5 linked regions of the Oryzias latipes genome follow. The protein of the gene in region 3 purifies or fractionates together with the protein of the main gene of each other region. This does not show direct contact. Links are inferred from orthologs where the notes say so. Each region holds a gene or a part of one and is shown on either strand. Other genes may lie near its edges.

Evidence for each region. The genes of interacting proteins can lie anywhere in the genome.
Region 1: the proteins of yap1 (region 3) and rpl7a purify together in Homo sapiens (affinity purification with mass spectrometry, with the first as the bait; 3 studies listed by BioGRID). This does not show direct contact. The link is inferred for Oryzias latipes from reciprocal best matches to the Homo sapiens genes YAP1 and RPL7A.
Region 2: the proteins of yap1 (region 3) and runx2 purify together in Homo sapiens (affinity purification with western blotting; 4 studies listed by BioGRID and IntAct, with this or other methods). This does not show direct contact. The link is inferred for Oryzias latipes from reciprocal best matches to the Homo sapiens genes YAP1 and RUNX2.
Region 4: the proteins of yap1 (region 3) and phgdh purify together in Homo sapiens (affinity purification with mass spectrometry, with the first as the bait; 4 studies listed by BioGRID). This does not show direct contact. The link is inferred for Oryzias latipes from reciprocal best matches to the Homo sapiens genes YAP1 and PHGDH.
Region 5: the proteins of yap1 (region 3) and angiomotin purify together in Homo sapiens (affinity purification with western blotting; 17 studies listed by BioGRID and IntAct, with this or other methods). This does not show direct contact. The link is inferred for Oryzias latipes from reciprocal best matches to the Homo sapiens genes YAP1 and AMOT.

The regions. Positions count from the first base shown.
Region 1 is NC_019870.2:7,756,639-7,760,794, forward strand, and holds the start of rpl7a (60S ribosomal protein L7a), read left to right. Parts: upstream 1-1,356; 5' UTR 1,357-1,453; coding exon 1,454-1,456; intron 1,457-2,360; coding exon 2,361-2,481; intron 2,482-2,522; exon of another isoform or gene 2,523-2,595; intron 2,596-2,667; coding exon 2,668-2,817; intron 2,818-2,893; exon of another isoform or gene 2,894-2,965; intron 2,966-3,032; coding exon 3,033-3,173; intron 3,174-3,237; exon of another isoform or gene 3,238-3,310; intron 3,311-3,388; coding exon 3,389-3,468; intron 3,469-3,506; exon of another isoform or gene 3,507-3,583; intron 3,584-3,672; coding exon 3,673-3,803; intron 3,804-3,962; coding exon 3,963-4,032; intron 4,033-4,107; coding exon 4,108-4,156.
Region 2 is NC_019882.2:3,136,870-3,141,003, forward strand, and holds the start of runx2 (runt-related transcription factor 2), read left to right. Parts: upstream 1-1,334; 5' UTR 1,335-1,424; intron 1,425-1,477; exon of another isoform or gene 1,478-1,639; 5' UTR 1,640-1,705; coding exon 1,706-1,763; intron 1,764-4,134. UniProt on the Homo sapiens protein: Transcription factor involved in osteoblastic differentiation and skeletal morphogenesis. Essential for the maturation of osteoblasts and both intramembranous and endochondral ossification.
Region 3 is NC_019871.2:6,488,603-6,492,653, forward strand, and holds the start of yap1 (transcriptional coactivator YAP1), read left to right. Parts: upstream 1-1,251; 5' UTR 1,252-1,847; coding exon 1,848-2,048; intron 2,049-3,148; coding exon 3,149-3,384; intron 3,385-4,051. UniProt on the Homo sapiens protein: Transcriptional regulator with dual roles as a coactivator and corepressor. Critical downstream regulatory target in the Hippo signaling pathway, crucial for organ size control and tumor suppression by restricting proliferation and promoting apoptosis.
Region 4 is NC_019879.2:21,728,517-21,732,606, reverse strand, and holds the start of phgdh (D-3-phosphoglycerate dehydrogenase), read right to left. Parts: upstream 2,801-4,090; 5' UTR 2,726-2,800; coding exon 2,438-2,725; intron 665-2,437; coding exon 513-664; intron 438-512; coding exon 372-437; intron 283-371; coding exon 228-282; intron 69-227; coding exon 1-68. UniProt on the Homo sapiens protein: Catalyzes the reversible oxidation of 3-phospho-D-glycerate to 3-phosphonooxypyruvate, the first step of the phosphorylated L-serine biosynthesis pathway.
Region 5 is NC_019872.2:12,828,790-12,833,010, reverse strand, and holds the start of angiomotin, read left to right. Parts: upstream 1-1,421; 5' UTR 1,422-1,851; intron 1,852-4,221.

The DNA of each region.
Region 1 (4,156 bases), on a different chromosome or scaffold from region 3:
AGACGGTTTGCTCCCAACAGTTTTTGGAGAAAAGGCTGGAGTGTGACCCAAAAATGTATGATAAATATTCAAATGAAAGAGGTTTCTTTTAAAATAATTCACAAAATCTACCCCAGCAATCAATTCATGCTGAGATATGTTAAAACAATTGACCCTAACTGTAATGTTTGCAAATGACATCCAGAAACAATTGACCATCTTTTTTGGAACTTTAATGAAAATTGAATTTTTTGGAAAAAGTGTTTACAATTTATCAAAAAACATATTCACCCCAACTTCACTCTGAAATTTGAATATATAATTTTTTGCTTTCAAAATAAAAACTTGGGGTCAAGTAAAAAATGTCATATTCATAAATGCAAATTTTCTTCAACTTCTATTTTCCCCATATTAATCAAACAAATTGAAATATATCTCAGTACCATCTCTAAAAGCCTTCGCCAGAAAGCTGTATGTTTCTATGAAAGTTGTAAAAACTTGAATGTTTTTATGTAAAATGCATGTAATAAGTATGCTCCCCTGGCCTATTTGAAGTTTATTTTGTAAAAATGTGCTTTGTACTATACTTCTGTTTTGCACAAAAAATTAAAAAAAAAAAGATATGACTTATTTTATTTTTTATTTAATGTACACTTCAAGGACACTAATATAGAAATCTATATTATAGATTATATTTTAAAAAACAGGATTTATTTTCAAAATAAATGAAATGAATGAAACTTGTCACAGCAGTGAGGTATTGACATTTTTAAAACGTTTTCCACAAGTTTAGGTGTGTCTTGATGGGAATGTTTGACCATTCTTCCAGGAATGCATTTGTGACAAAGATGTTGAACGTGAACAGCTGACTCACTCCATATAATCTCAACCTGACCTCCATCAATTAAAGGTCAGGACTGCCAAGCAAGATCTTGGACCTTGCTTTGTGCACTAGCCACAATCTCATTAGAACAGCGAAGGCATCATTATATATTTTACACAAAATGAAGAGCAAAAAATTAACCAAAATATCTTGGCATGCTATAGCATGTCAAATTAATTTCGGTAAAATTAAGGGAGTGAGTCAAGCTGCTGAAAAAGTCACCATGGTGACACATATATACACTATAATATCCCTTCCACCAAACTTCATTCTTGGTACAATGCAGTAAAAAAAAAAAAACTACCAACAAATGAAGCTGTTTCACTGCTTAAGCCAGGAAACTAATCCTTGAAGATTTCGTTAATGTTTTGGCAAAAAACTTGTGTTACCCCGCAAACCTTTAATTAAAAATGTAATGCCACCGATAACTCTCTGGTGTGGTTTCTAATTGGTACACAAATAAAGGTTAAAGTAAACAAATGAAAAATCAGATCCTGGATCGAGGCAGCAAACGCAGCATGTTGATGCTCCAAGCCTCGCGGTATTTCCGTTACCCAGAATCCTTTGGTCCTCCTTTCTGCCTGAACCAACATGGTGGGTACATACTTGCTTTTTCCGACGAAAACTTATGCCTGATAAATCTCGTTGCATCTGTGTTTGTATACCTCCTATGTCCTCATCTAATGTCAATTCATAATGTAGTAATCCTTAATATTCATTCTAGGTGGATATTGAAGCATGATTTGACGTGGATAATGGTTAAAATTGAGTTTGATTTAGTGAAACGTACCCGGCAGCAGCGCTTAGGCGAAGTAGCTAACGCACGTTTAAAAAACGACCAGCTCTTTGGACATTTTTCTATTCTAAACATTTTTTGTTTTTAATTTGCTGTCTCGTTTATTGCTAAACTAATACTGAAGTGTGAAGAACTACTAGGCTGTTGTTTATCAGTTTTGAGTGAATGGACCTTAGCTTCAACATGCTAATTGTACTGTTGTGTCATGACTCTGGTTGCTTCGTGTCGTACTATTGTCATAATTAATATAGACTGAACGTGGAGATCCGAGTTTTGTACAGTTATGGGTAATTTAGGGTCCCAATTTTGAGCAGTGCTGCCCAATCCTGGTCCTCGGGAAACACGGCATGCATGATGAACACACCTGGCTTGAGCAGAGCTTGATAGGTAGAATCAAACGTCTTAACTTAAGGAGAGTAACATGGAAAACTTGCAGGACAGTTTTTCCAGAAGACCAGGGTTGGGAACCACTGGTTGACATGTCTTTGCATTGACCTCATTGTCGAATCAGGATTGAAATACAGACTAACAACTGTGTTGCTTTTTTAAATGGCATGATCTGTTAAATTACTTTTTGGTTAAGTTACTTGACTGTTTCAACGGGTGCAGCTTGTATTGAAGAGAATTTCACAAAATTAAATTGATGTCTTTTATTCCAACTTGGTAATGAACTTGATTAACGTTGAACAATGTTCTTTTCAGCCCAAGGGAAAGAAGGCTAAGGGGAAGAAGGTGGCACCTGCCCCTTCCGTGGCCAAAAAACATGAGGCCAAGAAAGTCGTCAACCCCCTGTTTGAGAAGAGGCCCAAAAACTTTGGCATTGGTACGTATCCACTGCTCCTGGTATGGGAGAAACGGTTCTGATGCAGATGATGTGACTGAATATTTGCTAACTTGATATTAATGATGACGACCTTCCACCAAGATCGCTGATGCATTTTTAAAAGTTCAATTCTAATGGGTTTGTGTGTTTATTGCTCTTCTTATTCTTGGGTTTTGTCGTCCACAGGCCAGGATATTCAGCCGAAGCGTGATTTGACCCGCTTTGTTAAATGGCCTCGTTATGTGCGCCTGCAGAGGCAGCGCTCCATCCTCTACAAGCGTCTTAAGGTTCCTCCTGCAATCAACCAGTTCACTCAGGCTCTGGACCGCCAGACAGGTAACACTTTGTAATGATCTTTGGTAAAGTGTCACTATTGGGTGATATTTTCCCTTTGACAATAAAGTTTTTACTTTGCAAGTGATGTAAACGAATATTTGCTATCTGATGATAATGCTGACGCATTTCCACCAAGATCGCTGATGCAGTTTCCTTGTAGCAACAAGTAGTGCTTAATACGTTGGTCAGACTTGTAATGTAAAGTTTATTTTTAGCCACTCAGCTCTTCAAGTTGGCACACAAGTACCGGCCAGAGACCAAGCAGGAGAAGAAGCAGAGGCTGCTGGCTCGTGCTGAACAGAAGGCTGCTGGGAAAGGAGACACGCCCACCAAGAGGCCTCCTGTTCTCCGTGCAGGTAAAATTCAGAGAAAATGTGCCAAATAGTTCATAAAAAAATCAGTTTTGATGTTTTGGCTGTTATGCAATGATGTTCAGAATTTCTTCACCTGAAACTTTCTATGATGGTTTTTGAGCTTTTTAACCCTGAGCATTGGCCATTATCCATAGTGAATGAATGGACGGTTTGTTTTCATGGAACAGGTAAATGTCATGATTCCCTTTTGTTTCCAGGTGTAAACACTGTCACAACTCTGGTGGAGAGCAAGAAGGCTCAGCTGGTTGTCATCGCCCACGATGTTGATCCAATTGAGGTGAGATTAGTGTCAGGTTTTTGTCGCGCTGCGGTCGCTGGCAATGATGTCTGAATTTCTTCACCTGAATCCTCCGTGTGGATCCAAACATACGAGCTTTTTAACCCTGAGCAGCGACCATCAGTTCTAAAAATTGACTGAACCTTACAGCCACTGATGTGGATATTTGTAACATATTGTCACTTTTCGGATGTTCTGCTTCAGCTGGTCGTGTTCTTGCCTGCTCTCTGCCGCAAGATGGGTGTCCCATATTGTATCGTCAAGGGCAAGGCCAGACTGGGCCGACTGGTGCACAGAAAGACGTGCACTTCTGTGGCTTTCACACAAGTTAACCCGTAAGTATCAGCAAAAGCTAAACTTTTATCTCGGGGCACAACCCTAACCTTTAGGTTTTGAAATGCTTGTCTAGAATGTGTATAAAAAGTTGTTTTTACATGTAAATAATGCAAAAACACTGCATGTTGGAGCTGCATTAACATTTGTTCTCGTCACAGTGAGGATAAAGGGGCACTTGCTAAACTCGTGGAAGCCATCAAAACCAACTACAATGACAGATTTGAGGAGGTGAGGTCCAAATCTGTTATTTACAGCATCTGCATCATATTTTTCCCTTAACCTCCTGAAATTCTTTTTTCTTAGATCCGTCGTCATTGGGGAGGCAATCTCATGGGTCCCAAATCCACAGCCC
Region 2 (4,134 bases), on a different chromosome or scaffold from region 3:
TCGTAAGGCCACCTGTAGGGGCTTGATGAAAATGGTAGAACCATCGTCATGTGTGGTAAGTGTATCCTGAAGTGTTTGTAAGGAAGTTGCAAGCACTTAAACTTGCACGCGGCTTGTGCATAGATCCCCAAAAACAGTCGTAGAAACTTGTGTAGCTACGCGTTAACAGTAAAGTTGTGAGCGAAGAAGCCTGAAACGTGTTTACGCAGACTTTTCGTTGGAAGTGGCCGCTTGAACGCGATATGCAGAGGGTTATGTGAACGTGGCTTTATAGTGCAGAAGATATGGTCCACTGACTCAGGGATCCCAAAATGATCTGACACTGCTCCTGCTTCCATTCCTGGCATTCCTTTGCGTCTGTCTTGTCTGCATTTCTGATTTGTATCAAACACCTGTGATCGCTGATCAAAGGTTAAGCATGCTGGGATGTGTGGCGGCGTTTGTGGGAAGCAGCGCGTGATTCATCCCCGATTGTCCCGACCTGCCTGCTCACTTGGTGGAAGTTTTCTTTTTTTTTGTCTTTTTGGCAGGAGCGTCTGCGTTAATGTGACTGTTTGTGTGCCACAGCCTGTATTTTACTGTGAAGACAGGTGATCTATGACTCTTTACAGGAAGCCATCCCCCTCTCTGAGCCAATCACATCTCACAGCCAGCACACAAACACGTCCATTAGTGCATGACACCATGACATGAGTGCTGTTTGCAGCAGAGCGGCATCCCACGCTGTGAAAGTGACTGGCTCTGTAAATAAGCAGCGTCACAGCAGCTCTCGTCTCCTTTGCCGCTCTTTCTGCTGCACATGCTCGCACAACCCCCCCTCAGACGCTCACACCCAGTCTAACGCCGCCAGCCGTTCCCGCCTCGCTCACACCCTCAAATCTTACCGAGCTCAGCTCTCTCTGCTCAAAGGCAGACGGGAGCAGCACAGCCGCCTGCAAAAGGAGCTGAGGAGCAGAGTGGAGCGGGGGCAGAAAGCACTGCTCCCCATATGCCGAGGTGGGCACAGGCGGTTGAACAAGCTGCCCCCCACTGAACCCTCCTGACTCATGGGAGCGTCAGACCCAGGTCCCCAGAGAGGCTGGAAAACGCCGCCGTGCTACGCGGAGAGGAGCAGGAGAGGAGGGAGGTGAAAACTCTGAGGAGAGGAGGGAAAGCCACAACGGTGGGCTGTCCCACTCAGCTGCTGTGCCGTGATGACGTGAGAGGGCATGTGACCCAGGGTCTCCAGTGACGGCACATGGAGGGCAGGAAAGAGACGAGTTTTAAAGCTGGTGCCTTTTGGGTTGTGTGAGGGCTCTGCTCACCTCCCAAACAACCACAGAACCACAGACGTGCGGCTCAGGGGTTTGTGTTTGAGGGCGACTCGGAGCGTAAATGGTTAATCGTCGCCGGCCAGCACCACTCACAAGGACGACGCTGAGCGAGTAAGTACGTTCCAACCACACTCGCCAAGCAAGCAAGTCCGACAGCAACTGATCCATCCGCAAAGGCGAAATTAACCCCTGAATTTTTTCTTTTTTTTTTTCATAAAACCAAACTGGGTTGTTATTTGCGGTCATCCAAATAGTTGATACGTAAAAGCGCTCTTAGTGGATCCAACTTTTTCCTCTTCATGACATGCTGCGTGCTCTTGGTTTAGGACGTGTCAAGGGTCACCGAAACCACAGAGGAGCAAAAGTGGGGCTTGCTGGAACCAGAGGCAGCTATGGCATCCAACAGTCTTTTCAGCACAGTGGGACCATGTCAGCAGAACTTCTTCTGGGGTGAGTACCACTGTCCTGGACGGGTCACGGGGACAACTTGGGGTCAAGCGGTGGGGGTTTTGGATGTCTTCCTTATAGTCTTGGATCCAAATGAAGGGTTTGGGTCCAGATGAGTGAGGAAGATTCGCCGAGGCCCGCCAAAGGACTCTGTAATCAAAGTCAAAGCAGTTGTGGCTCATCACAGCTTTTTGTGGTGCGCCAACTCCAAATGAAAACACTCCGAAAAAAAAAACAAGAAACTGCTGTGAGAAATGCCAGTATTTACGCCATCTGATGTTTAGAAATACTTCTGAAAGAGCGGGATGGTATGTTTGTGCAACCTACTCATGGATTTACAAAGCAAAGTCACTGCAGAAACCCAAAAAAACAAAAGTGGGGAGCAATATTTTTGACAGACGTAAACAGACGCCGGTCTTGAGAGTTTACAGTCCAGCATTGAAACAAGATGTGGGGGGGGATTACTGCGCACTGCGGCTGTTTTGGTGTCCTACATGCAATCGAGTATTGATTAGTTGTAATCGCTTCCTGAAGTGGTTCGCTCTGACTGCTGGGATTAATTAATCCGTCTGAATAAACGCAGCAGCCAGAGAGCTGTTCATCAGCTGACGAAGATTCCCGTTTGTGACTTGACGATGAATCTGTGCGATCCCTCAAACCTGAGTTTCTCACATTTGCACTTTTTTTTTTTGGACCAAATAAAATTCTGTTTCCTCCATAATAATGATTCTCACCACCACCTTTCTGCGTCAAACCCTCTGTTTCAGTTTTTTGTTTTCTATCTTTATGATTTAAGCCGAAAAATGTGTTGTTGTTGTTTTTTTTAATATATTTTCTGTCCTGTTTGACTCCAGACATTGGCTCTGTTTAATAAATCCCTCCACATTTCACCCCTCCCTCCTCTCCTCGTCCAAATCAAATGTTTAAAAGATGTTTTATAGAAGTGGCTCGGTGATGAAATTCTGCTACTCCGGTTCTCCACACAGAAGCAGGGTGGCTCCTAATGTGCTTTAAAGTGAGCGTCTTCCAACAATCACCACCACCTATTACTGATTTAACCTCCAGACCTCTCTGGTCTCTGGGGTTTTTGGGGCACGGGAGGACAAGAAGTGAGGAGGAGGAAATTGAAAGCATGCCGCTGTGGAGGTCTGTAGGCAGAAGAGCCGATGTGAGCGAACGATCAGGTGGCTGATCGGTCCTCGCACGCCGTCTGATTGACACTGGCGCTCCCCCTCATCGACATGGCTCCTGTTTATGAACCTCTGAGCAGTAAATCTGTCGGTGCGACCACAAAAAGTCCCCTCGACGGCGCAGTGTGATTCTGCAAGACCACCAGTTCTTTCTGTTATATTTATAATTCTGTATAAATAAATGCACAGTGCTGGGCTGTGTCAGAGCGGGTTAAAGTTAGACCTGAAAATATGGCTTCAGCAGACAGAATGGAAGCAACATCAGGACGGATACATTTTTTTTTTATGTTTATCAATTTTCTGTTTTTTTTTTAATCATTTTTCTTTAAAGTTTCTCTTCATTTCTATAGATTTTCCCTAAAAAACATCTATAGTGTGCTCCTTCCAAATCCTACAATAGAAGGTCTAATTCAGGGGTGTCAAACTCCTTTTCACCGAGGGCCACATCCGCATAGTGGTTGCCCTCAAGGGGCCAGATATAACTGAATGTAATGAAAAATATAAAATATTTATTATAACTCTTTAAAGTGACAATTACAGTTGCATAGGAAACATATGTTTGCTTGTTACTCTAGCATAAATCCTTTGAAATTTGATTCTATATATAGCCTAAACTATATTGACAATGTTTAAGTCCTAATATGTAGCTGCCCAATCCAATAATTTAAGTTCAATTCCCCCTAGATATGAATAAATACACACCAATTTTTATTTTTTTATTTACATTTTTTTTTAACTTTTATGCTCTCGCGGGCCACATTAAATGACATGGAGGGCCACATTTGGCCCCCGGGCCTTGAGTTTGACACATGTGGTCTAATTAAAGGGTCGTGAGGAAACCCTTCTATTCTACTGGGGTCATAATTGACCCGTTTTCTCTTGAAAATGGGTCAGTTTTGACGCCAACACCATATGTGAAATTTATTTAAACTAAATTGGATCCAATCATTTTTCTAGTGGGTCAAACGGAAAAACATTTTCAGCTTTCTCAGCCTCTCCGAGGAGCATTTAAAAGCTCATTTTCTCCTCTGCAAACTTAATTGCATTAAGACAATAATGTCCCAGGAGGGGGAGAAAAAACACAAAAACATTGAGATGCAAAGATCCCGAAGCTTAGGGGCCGAAAACTTTCACCAGAAAAATCCCTGATCGTTTGCTGGGTCCATATGTATCTGAGAAAAGCA
Region 3 (4,051 bases):
GCTCTACTTTACATACAGTGTAAAAAGAAAAAAGAAAGAAGAGATTGTTCCATTTCCCTCAGCGATTGAAAGAAAATTGTTCTTTTCAAGATTCTTGGGAAAAATCGTGGCACCTTTTATGTTCGCAGCTATTTTCTAAAGTGGACTTTCTGCAGGCCTTTTCTGGATCAAATCTGTCTGTGTGTGAAGCACAGAGATGAGTTTAATTCAACAGATTTATCAGGATTTTAATGTCGCATTTGGGGGTTTTCTTCTTGTCAATAGGTCTGTTTAGTTGTACAGAGCAACCTCTGGTCAATATAGGCGTCTCATTTCAGGCTTCATTTTTGTCTATTAGAAATTTGTGTTTGACATCATAGATGGTCACTTCACTGTTTGTGTATGTTTATCGCTAATTATACAAAAAAAAAAATGTTCCTTAATGAAATAAAAAACAGACCATTTCAAAACACTCCCCTGTAAAACAAACTTATCATAAATGGAAAACAAAGTAGCATACGTCAACAAACAAGGGATCCTGGAAAACCTCTTAATTCAATGTTTAAAGTTCCTTTTTGTTTTTTTTTAGAGGGGAGTCGATAGAAAATGATCTGCCTCTGAAACCAGCTTCTACTGGTCATTTTAGGAACTGCAACATTTAATATTTTCAGGAATTCTTACATTTGGTAACTGGATATTTTAATTAAAAGCAAAAAAAAAAAAAAAAAAAGAAATCAAAGAACAAAGGGACCCTGGGAATCTACCTGTAGGGTGTAAATTTGTGGTTTTTCAAATTGGAGAGTCATTGGAAAATCCCCTACCTCTGAAACCAGCCTCTAGTGGTCATTTTAGGAACTGCAGTATTTAGTTCTTTAGGGTTTGTCTCACATTTGGTAACTGGACGCTTAAATTCAAAGCAAAAAACATTTTTTTAAACTGATCCTGGGAAGCACATCTGTAAATTTAGGGTCTAAATTTGTAGTTTCGTAGGAGGGGAGTCAATAGAAAACGACCTCCCTCTGATACCAGCCTCTAGTGGTCATTTTTGAAACTACAACATTTTCTTTTATTGTTATTTTAATATTTTCTTAAAGATCGAGGTAAATAGAAATAAAAGCTATATTTTATAATTTTGTTGTATACTTCATAATTGCTATTTTGTCGCAGTCTTAAGTTTAATGCTTTTTTGCAGGATAAATGGGTCTCAGGATAACTGCCTGTACCTTTAACTCATCCCAGTTGGAGTGTGGCCCCGCCCCCTTTGCGCAGACGTCCCATGAGCCATAAAGTTTTATGTCCTGCTCAAAGTTTAGGCTAACAGGAGGAAACTTTTTTTCGGGGCAGTGAGCGGCACAGATTTGCGCTGAGTCTGCCTTGGAAAATTCCTGGGGAGGAAAAAGTTTTGAAACTTTTCCGAAATTGGGAATGCCGGGACTTCTTTTTACTGCCTGAACTTTGGTGGTGTTACCTTTTTTTTTTTTTTTTTCACCAACTTTTGCGGCACTTTTTTTCTGAAGGGGGGGGGAGTAAAAGCTGGGTCCGGACGACAATACAGATTCCAGAGTGGAGCAGATATGCGCTTTGTTTTATGTACAAGTATGTCAGCTGGGAAAAGCCAAGGAAAGCGGCCTTTCTCTGCTGATTTTGACAGCTAACATCGTTCGAAAACAGCCTCGCGGCGGTCCGCTCGAAAAAGTAGACCGACGTTAAAAAGTCATGACTTTGCAAAACTTTTACTAAGTTTCGTTAGAAGTTAAAGATTTGACAAAAAAAAAAAAAAAGTTCGGGGACGGCTCGAACCGCCTTTGAAAAGTTTCGTAACTCAACGTTTTCGGGCCGCAAAGAGTTCGCAGAGCGCTTGTGGAACAATGGATCCGAGCCAGCACAACCCTCCTGTCGGACACCAGATCGTTCACGTTCGGGGCGACTCGGAAACGGACCTGGAGGCGCTTTTCAACGCCGTGATGAACCCCAAGGGCGCCGTCGTGCCCCAGTCCGTGCCCATGAGGATGAGGAAGCTGCCGGACTCCTTCTTCAAGCCCCCGGAGCCCAAGTCCCATTCCAGACAAGTAAGACCCCCCCCCTCCAATCCCGCGGGGGCCCCGGCCTAAACACGGCCACCTCTGCTCAAAACAACCGCTCCATCTAGTTTTTTTGTTAAAATCACGATTTTAGTCCGTTTTTTTAAATGTATTGTAAGCGCAAATTATAATTTTAATTAAAAGAAAATCATCAAAACATTAAAAAAAAGTTTAAACGTTTTGCAAGAAATGTGGATACATTTATTTGAACATAAAACTTTATTGCGAAACTTTGTTAATTCATTTATAAACAGTCATTTAAAGGTTAGTTAGATATACTTTTTATTTTATTTTAATACAGCTTCAATATAGAAATCATATGATGATTGGATTTACCCCATCAACCCCTCCCTCCCAATTTCCCCTTTCGACTGCTTACCGAAGTTTTGTAACTAGTGCGCATGCGCCGTGCAGGCCCTCTGGTGCCTTGGATTATCTCTGTGGGCCCTGACACAAGTTGGATGCACATCCAGATGACTCAACAGTGTTCAAGTCTGACTTAATGATCATTTTTTTTTCATTTTTTAGAGATTTTTCATTATGCTGCTGTTTTATAATACAGTCCAAAATGAATCACTGTGATACTCCTCATTGGGACAAACAAGATAAATAATGTCTTTGTCTTTGTCGCTAATAAACTAGATATAATGCAGAAGTACTGCAAATTTTTTTTTTGGGGGGGGGGGTCCTAGACAAACAAAAAACAAAAAAAAACTAAATAAAACCCCCACCTGCCAACTTTACTATTTGTTGTTTATCCCCCCCATATATGTTTACATTTCAAATAAAAAAGCTTGTCTTTATGCATTTATTTTTGAAAGCACGCATAAACTGTAATAAAAACTAGAAGAACTTCAGAAGAAGACTAAACAATTCCAAACCCAGCCCACAAAACATACAGTTTATAGATATTAGGAAACGAGACAAAACATGTATGTAGTCACAGATGATCATTCAATGAAAAATACAGTTTATAGGGGACTAAAGCAAGCAGGTCCTCTAAAGGTACATGAAAATATGTGACATTTAGTTATCAATGTATTGAAACAATGTAAAAAAATAAATAAAACATCTTCTTTGTAACTCAGGCTAGCACTGATGCTGGGAGTGGCGGCGTGCTCACCCCCCACCACGTACGCGCACACTCGTCTCCAGCTTCCCTGCAGCTGGGCGCCGTTTCGGGTGGCTCCCTGTCTGGGATGGCCTCAGCAGGCGCCTCCCCCCAACATCTCCGGCAGTCGTCCTACGAGATTCCCGACGACGTGCCCCTGCCGCCAGGCTGGGAGATGGCCAAGACCAGCTCCGGCCAGAGATACTTTCTCAAGTAAGTGTGCAATCTAACAGCGTGTGCATAAAAGTGAACGGGGCTGGAATCGAAAACGGGTGGACAGCAGACGGTAACATCTGGACACCAAAATGGGTCTCGTTTCTTCGTCGAGAGGAGTACGAACTCAAAGCCTGGAGGCATTTAAAAACTGTCAAGGTTCCATAACCTTTCTTCCAAAACATAATTTGCAGAATGCACCTGTTAATGGGACTCTAATGTTCCACCGATTAGGTTAACGCCCATAAAAAAACGGACCAAAGCGAGTCCAACAGATGTGGAACAGGTGTTGTTTTCGTCCAACCTGCAGAACATCTGTTGCACAGACTGTACATGCGAGGCACTGAATGCCCCATCGAGTGTGGCTTTCAAAATATCCCCGTGTGATGAGTTGCACCCAAACATTCAAAGAGTTCTCCCAGCAGATCTTTGATTTCTGCGCCAGGGTCCACGTGCAGCAAAGACCTCCAGAAATCCTTCTGGTTCTCTTTGGTTTCAAGATGGCGGCGGACATCATCGGGCCGGAAGCAGAAATCATACAACTAATCCTAACCCAAAAGTGTTCGGAATTGTAGCCAAAACTTCTACCAAGGCTTCAAATGAGAGAAATCGTAACTGTTGTCAGTTAAAATGAAAATTCTCTGAGCGATAATGGTGGACTTTCCAA
Region 4 (4,090 bases), on a different chromosome or scaffold from region 3:
ACTTCCTTCCCGATTCTTCCAAGTCCAACTATTCCTAGAACTTTGCCATACAGCTCTGAACCCATGAACTGCAGTGAAGGGAATAAAGCACCCAAAATCCAAACAATGAGAACCCAAGTGTCAGATGTGATTATTAACCAGCGGATGAACAGTGGAACCATCCATGCAACAGCAATTGCTTTATGAGCCGAAGCAAACGAAGGGCTAGATGGAAAGCCTCTGTTTACCTTTTTACGGTCCCAGTTCCCTTCTTTCATTGACATTACAGCTTGAGGCACATTCCTAAAATTAAACAAAAAAATTCTGATTAACAATCCCCTTGCTAATAGCAGGTCTGCTTACCGATGGTAGAAGAAAGGTACAGTTTGTACCTTGAAAGGCTCATCAGCAGTGCACATGTCAGCTCAGCGGCACTAATTGTGTTACCGCTTGGTGTGCTGGGAAAAAACAGTGGAAAGTTACACTGGGCCCTTCACGGTGACCAGAATCAGTATTTAAAACTGGGGACTCACTTCATGACAATGATGCCCTTATGGGTAGCAGCATTTACGTCCACATTATCCACACCGGTCCCAGCTCTCCCGATGATCTTGAGATTATGAGCGGCACTGATGATGTCAGCTGTTACTTTTGTTGCAGATCTGACCACAAGGCCATCATAGAGCTAAAATGTAAAGAAGTGATCAAAAGGCAGATGAACAAAACAGCTGTGATGTATAAAAATTTTACCCCACTTTATTATGAAATCCACTTAAATCCTGAATGCTGTTCAACAACATGACCATAACAAAAACTGTTTATAATTTATTTTGTGCCTAGGACTAACTTCTGATTAGCCGACTATAATGAAAATGGTGTTTTTGGTGTTTTTAACATGTTCTTGTGGCATTTTTCTGATGATGGAGGACATGTATAAAGATAATTCAGCGTAAAACTGCATTTCTGAGTATTTCTTTATTCAAATCACTGTGAATTTGGAGCAGATGCTGCTTAAAAGGGGCTTATTTGTGACGTCGAAATATGCAAGGTGGGATCACTATTAAAATAGCTTAAAAGATGATCAGAGGAGGTCTTTTAAAAATTTAGCTCTGTTATTTTTTGATTAACCACTAAAAATATAATTCTTGCAATCAGAACTTCAACTTATTGATCCTTTATATTGCATTTTTTTTAAAAGGAAGAAAAAAAAGTTACTTGTGCATTTGTGTTACCACTGTATTTTGTGGTTTAGGAGCATTAGCACAACACATGAAAAGTAGCACACTACAAATTAGCAACAGACAGAATATTATGTGTGCATAAAACATGAACGAGTAAGCTATCTTTGCTGTAATGCTCTACAGTAACTTGTGATTGAAGAACTTTTTCCTTCAAAGTCCCTCTCCGATCAGAAAATCAAAAAACCTGTGACATTTTCTAGGACATACTTTCTGCAGAGCTGTAGTAGTTCATTAGAAATTTGCTTCTGAGCTGTGGGCGGGACTGTTGGCTTGGGAGTAAGCCGGCCCCCTTCCAATCTGTTTACATGCTTTCCCACTAGTTTACAGCCCCTCCCACCCTCAACAAAAAATTACTGGTGCAAAAAATTAGCTAGCAATATTGGAGCTATCCAGCTGTACAGTTTTGAGCCAGATGCCAGCTCAGACCAGGAAAACAAAGACGTTCATGGATCTCTTTGTCTGCAAGTGGATGCATTAGAATAGATCGGAACAGGGGGCTTGTGGCTTGCCTTGGTAGCGTCTGCATCGCAAATCTTTTTCGCGATTGCCTGATTCACAATTATTTGAATAAAGAAAGACTCAGAAAATGCTATTTTAGGCTTAAATTTCTCAAAGTTTGTCCTCCATCATGAGAAAATGCAGCAAGAACATGTTAAAATGCCAAAAACACGATTTACATCAGAGTGGATCTTTAACTATAGATGTTCAATAAATTTACAGCTTTATAGTCTTCTACCTACATTTTAAACTGAAATCTTATAAATGGTGCCCATGACTTCAATTTGGCCCAAGGACTCAAATCATGACGAATCCGGCCCTGGGAATCAGCTCCAATAACAACAGTCATTCAGATGGAGCAAATAAAAAAATAATTGAAAAAAAGTTCAGCAACTTTTCTTTTCTTTTATTAGATTGGATGTAATCTGATAAATTTTACAGTTCAAGGACACAGCTGGTTCGACGGGGGTGCGCAGAGGAATGCGTCTAAAGAAAAGTCAAAGATGAGTTGCATCAGCCTCCCGCTCTCCTATAGGGCGGAACTGAGCTGAGATCATCTGGGTAATCGGACTCCACGTGCAAAATCCAGCAAGCATGTCTCTACATGCATCCATTAAAGCACGTTATCGAGATAAAGGACGTACGCGCAGGAATACGGTGCGTGAGAGAAAAGTGCCCCGATGCCCTCGGAGCCTCCACAACAAAAGACCCGCTCTTACCCCAATCTCTGCAATCAATTCCTCTTTCTTCATGTTCTGCTTCTCCGTCACTAGGATGCCGTTTTCCTCCAGGATCGCCCTGCAGCGGGGATCGACACTTTCACTGATTAGCACGGATTTGATGGAGGTCGGGGCCATCTTGGGATTTTTCTCTGTGGGGTTGCGGATGCGGGGCAGCCGGTTAGGAGAGTTGGTGAACTGATGATGATGATGATGATGGGTCCTCTTCAGAGTTCCTCCCCCAAAACCCCTAGTCTTTTGAAACGGCTTTCTCCAAGCTGAAAGCATGCGTGGTCCCGCCTCCCGCACATCACCCGTTCAGGCGTGACTGGAGATGAATTCGAAGAGTCACTCTTTAGAGCTCTGCCAGCAGAAAACCCACTGAAAAAAAGCACCTCTTTTTGCAAAATGAAGAACCAAAACAGCTGCGATGGTTATAGTTTTATGTAGGAACTCATGAACTAGCGCAATAGTTGTAACCCAAGTGGCTTTTAATTTAAAAAAGGGCAAAAAAATGTAGGAAATACAATGGATAAAGGAGTGAAAACTGTGTGTACTGCTAATTGCTGGAGAGATTCTATAATGTAAGCACTAATATTGAATAAATAACTTTATTGGTGCTGAATTAACTGAAGAAGATGGGGAAAAAACAAAAACAAACAAAGAAAATCTGGTCTAAATAGCAGAGGATGCTACAACTTCCAAAGGTGCCAGAATAACGACATAATGGTGAAACAGGTAGAAAAAAAAAACAATATTGTTTTAAAAATGTTATAGATAATCATAAAAAAATCTTAAATTGTTTGAAAAAAATCTAAAAGGAAATAAATGTGTAAAATTGAAATTGGAAAAACAAAAAACTCAATAGCAATAGTTGCTTATGATAATTATTTAGTTAGTAATGCAAAAGCCAGGGGTTATATAAGTTTGCCCCCTCCCATTCCCTTTCACGCAATCAATTCAACTACTTTGGTCAAACCTAATTGTTTCTTTGTGTGATGCAAAAGAGCTAATGATTAAGAGTAATAAAAAAATTTTTTTATGTGGATGTATGCACATTTTCCAATCAATTTTATGACTAATTATCCCATATTTGATATATTTCTGCATAGATTTCAGTTGTTTGTTTTGTTTTTTGCTTTCTTTTGCTTTGATATATACACTGTATATGCCACAAGTAACTTTTTAAAGTGTTGACAAAAATAAGAACTATAAAGCCAAAAATCTACAGAATCGATAAAAGTCCAAATTATCTTTTTTGCAGAAAGTATTCTATCTTTCTTTTTTCAATTTGAGAACAAAGTTTCAACAAGGAATTTGTATCTTAAAAGGGACCATAAACTGAAAGTGCAAGTACAAATCTCCAGAAAGGGCAAAAAATTGAGACAAAACTTAGCGCCTCGTTTTCTATTTTCCTCTTTTACAATATTTAATGAGGGATACATATCTTATTTAGTCACTGTACCTTTAATCATGTGGTTTAAGCATGTAGCATTTCAAATGATAGTCAAAGATTTGTTACTGTGTAACGCCAGAACGAAGAGAGAAACCAAATTAAAAAGTATACTTCTTCAATTTGTCCAGAAAATCAGATCATGTGACGCTAGATTTAAGACACTGTTGATCTCCTGACTCATTAAACAGCATATGACA
Region 5 (4,221 bases), on a different chromosome or scaffold from region 3:
CTGTCATGCGACCCATCTTTGACACTTTGTAGCTCATTTCTAAAATGTTAACTGTAAATGACAGTGATAGCAACCATTTCCAGGACAAGTGGGAAGGGGCATATTTTTCAGTAAAATAGGAAACAACTATGTCTGCCTCTTATGCCAAGACACCGTGGCTGTTTCAAAAGACTATCATGAGGGACTACCAGGCAAGACATAGTAACTACAACAAGCCGACTGGGACTGAACGGTGTGCACAACTTGCAGTAATTTTTGCAAATATGTATTTAAATGTGTTTGTTTTCTATGTGAAGAAATGAAAAGTATGCTATTACAAAAATGTTCATTAAATATTTCACTTGCATTTAATGTTACTAAAATAGTTAATGGATTGTCAGGCTGAATAAATGGCCCTCAAATATTTTCACATCACCAAATCTGGCTCTCTTTGCTAAAAGTTTGCTATAGACCATGTATTTGTTATGTAGGAAGTAGCCTATACTAACTGAATACTTCTGCATACTAAATTGGAAAACTATATGTTTATAATATAGTATATAAAAAGCAAACTTCAAGTATACTGCCTCACTTTTAGGATGGACTATACTTGGGCTAAAACTTTAGTATGTTAATGTTTAGGGTTAGGATGTAGTGGGTTGCTAAAATGGCCCTTTTTGTGTATCTACTCTACATAATCAAATGGCTTTTCTTTATTTGTTTGAAATATATATATATTAAAAAAATTGATATAGGGTAAAAGTTCTTGTTAGAAAGAAGTACAGTGGATCATTATCCAAATGCAATGTTGCGGTGGGGTCAAGTACTTATATCGAAAAATGTCACAAAATAATTTGTTTTTGCTTAAAACGTTGGGAATCTTTGCTGAGCCACCCTGGGTACGAATTGAAGATAAAGCGGTTCAACTGTGTCTAAGATTCTGTAGAACCAACTCGTTCTTGTTCCAGTGTCCCACGTTTTTCTGAGACACCCCATTCGCATTCGAATCATGTTCTAAGTCTAAATAGTTTGGGTTTTTGATAGGAGAAAACAACCTCCGGGTGAGTTTGGCACGTGCATTGACTCTTGACTTTTCCTACTTTCCGCGCGGGCTCCTGAAGGCAGCGGAGGAGCTGCAGTCACAAAGCCCCTTTGTCATTTTTCCGTTTCTCCCCTCCTCCCCCCCTCAGGTCGGGGCAACTTTCTTTTCTCTCCTTATTGCTGTGTCATGGAGGAACGTAGCATTAGTACAAGCCGAGTTGTTTCAGCTAAACGAGCACATCAAAGCACTTTTATTAAACTTGTTGTAGAGAATGCACATATTTATCTTTAGAAACCACTCCCTCCATGTTGGTCTTAATAAACTAATAAATAAGTGCGTCGTAACATAAGGTTTGGAGTTCCAGTGAGCTGCCCCCTTGTGTGTCTGTTTTAAAAGAATGTGACTGATTAGATTAGGAAACGGGAGTAGGACGGCTCTCCGTGCTCCCTTACAAAAAAGGGGAAGAAAAAAGTTTTTTTCATCCAGTTTCCATTAGATGTAGGAGGACGTTTGGGGAGGGAGGGGGCTGGAAATTCCTGTCATGCTGCAGGGCCAGCCTGGAGGGAGCTTCCTGCCACTTTTTTTTTTTTTAAACGTTCTTGTTCTTCCACGGCGGAGAATGAAATTTGATGGGAAGGAGCGAGACGTCGTGTCCGCGCAGAAACTCATGGAGACCTCCGGAGACTTCCAGGACTGAGCCGCCTCAGGTTTCCTGCGGAGGAGTTTGGTTGAAGAGAAGGGGGGCACTGCTTCTGTCCAACGGGAAAGGGAAACGGCATGTTTAGGTGTTTTCAAGGATCGGGGAAGTAGAAAAGAAGCTCCGCGGAAAGGTAAAAACCTAAGTATGTGTGCGCCGGGAGAGCGTTCACACTGATGTGAACGTCTCGCACTCCTGTTCCGGGTCGTAAAACTGCATTCCTCGGGAGTCCGCTCGCTTTCTTTGTAATCATCTACTAGAGACCAAACTGCCGCGAACAGCTTAAACATGACAGCCATCTCTGTTCACTCGCTGCCTCTTCAGGGATGCTTTAAATGTTTTTAGATTTTCTGGAACTTTAATGAATCAGAAGAAACTTTTAGGCCAGATGTTCAAAGTAAGACTTTGCATGTTTTTATGGGCCTAAAGCTCTAATGGTGGCACATTCAAAGTTTGATTGGACATCTTAGGTTTTACTTACCCTTTCACCCTTTAAAGACGCTATAGGATTGATAATATTTGGTTTTGGATTGTTAATATTTAGAAAGTCTGTCATTAAATACTAAAAAAGTTCCTCCAACATCCAGCTGAGCATCTTTATGACATTTGCTCCACAAGGTGAGGAAAGGACAGATGCATGTAGGGTAAAAATATGGAAGCCCAACAGAGAACACACATTTAAGGTTGTATATCAATTTCAAATTTACATAAAATAAATTGTGCTTCAATAAACAAGCGTTTATGGAGCTGTAAACCCTTTCTTCAAAGTAATTTACTTTTTTTGCACACTTTAAAACTTCTCCAGCGATTGGAAATATTAGAGGCCTTGTTGGTTTCTTCAAGTGTTAGGGTGTCGAGATCATTTTAAAAACAAAATTAATGAAAGGGAGAATTCTTATTTTTATTTTATTCTTATCTTTATTTATTTATTTAAAAACAACTTTATACAAGTGGAATGGGGAAGTTTACTCATCAAATGACTCAACAACACAAGGGAGATTAGTGATCTGTGAGAAACGCAGTACACATTTTTGCCAAATCATGCTTTATTAAGTTCATATGAAATACTAGCCGGGTGTTCCGTTTCGTTCTTCATGGCTAGAGTCTGGATTTTCTTATCCCTTGTACCCCTGGTGGAACCCACCTGGTTCTCCAGTAGAGGGGGCAGGGGCGTCAGAAAAACGAGCAGGACACCTGTTTTCAAGGACTGGGATTGGACGTGCAGTGCCGTGGAGCTAACAATGACTGTGCATGGATCTAATAGAGAGGCGGTGTGGTCACATGACCCAATGGTTTCCATGAGGTTAATTTGACTCTAGTTTTCAACTCTCATTGATATTAGGATAATAGGAGGCATTAGGGTCTAAGGGTAGGAATGCCCAGTTTAGTTTAGTCTGTTTAGTTTTGTTAACGATTGCCTGTTGTATTTTACGACTGATTTCATGTTCTGATACAATTACCGGTATAAAGCCTGTTGAGACAACTATTTTGTATTATTGGGCTATATAGATAAAATTCAATTGAATTAAATCTTCCATTGGAGCCATTGCTTAAGTACACGAAAAGCTGACCTTCAATAGAGTTGTGACTTTGGAAGCACAATAGAAAGCATGAACAGAAAATGTTTGGTGTAGAGGTAGAGTAACAGAACTGGTTGCAGTTTGGGTTCCTGCTTTGTCTGCCCATGTGTCAAAGTGTCCTTGGACAAGACACTGAACCCCACATTGCTCCAGGAGGTTTGTCTAGTGCCTTGCATTGCAGCTCTGTGACCATGAATGTGTATGCACGGGTTGGCAGGACTTGTGACTGTATGGTCCTTTGGGCCTTAATCGGATTAAATCAAAAATTCAACTTGGAAGTTTTATTCATTTTAGTTTTCTTTATTTAACAAAATAAACAAGCCTGCTAGTTTGGGCTGCAAGACATCGTCTCAACAAATGCAATTCAGATTTGCAGTTAAAGAGGATTCTGGCTGTTTGCTACATATGATCAAAAAACTAAAAAACAATGGCCCAACTATTAAGCATGGTGGAGGTGTGATGATTTAAGTTTGATTGACACCTGTCCTTTCCATCTTGTCATTATTGGATTGACTGTGAAAGTTCCTATATAGCAGCCTCTTTTAGAGTCCATTGTGAGGTCATCTGTCTAACAGCTAAAGCTTGCCTGAAAGTAGGTCATGAAACTGGCCATTGACCAAAGGTTATGAAGGTTAAGTTGTTTAATGTTGTCATAGCAACCAATGAGACATGAGAGCTAACGGCTGATCTGTGAGCTCTGGCTGAGTTAAGAAAGTGCTCCTCTTAGCCAGACTGCAGATTCCCGTTGCTTTTTTTCTTTGCATCCTTTGCTTTTGTATCTGCTGGTACCAATGTACCCAATTATGCCGTCATTGCATCTACAGTAGGAAAGAAGAATGTCACAAAACAATAAAATGTTCAATGTCTTCATTAGTTATCAGTAATACAATTAAATAAATTAGATTTATGCGGTTCAATATAAT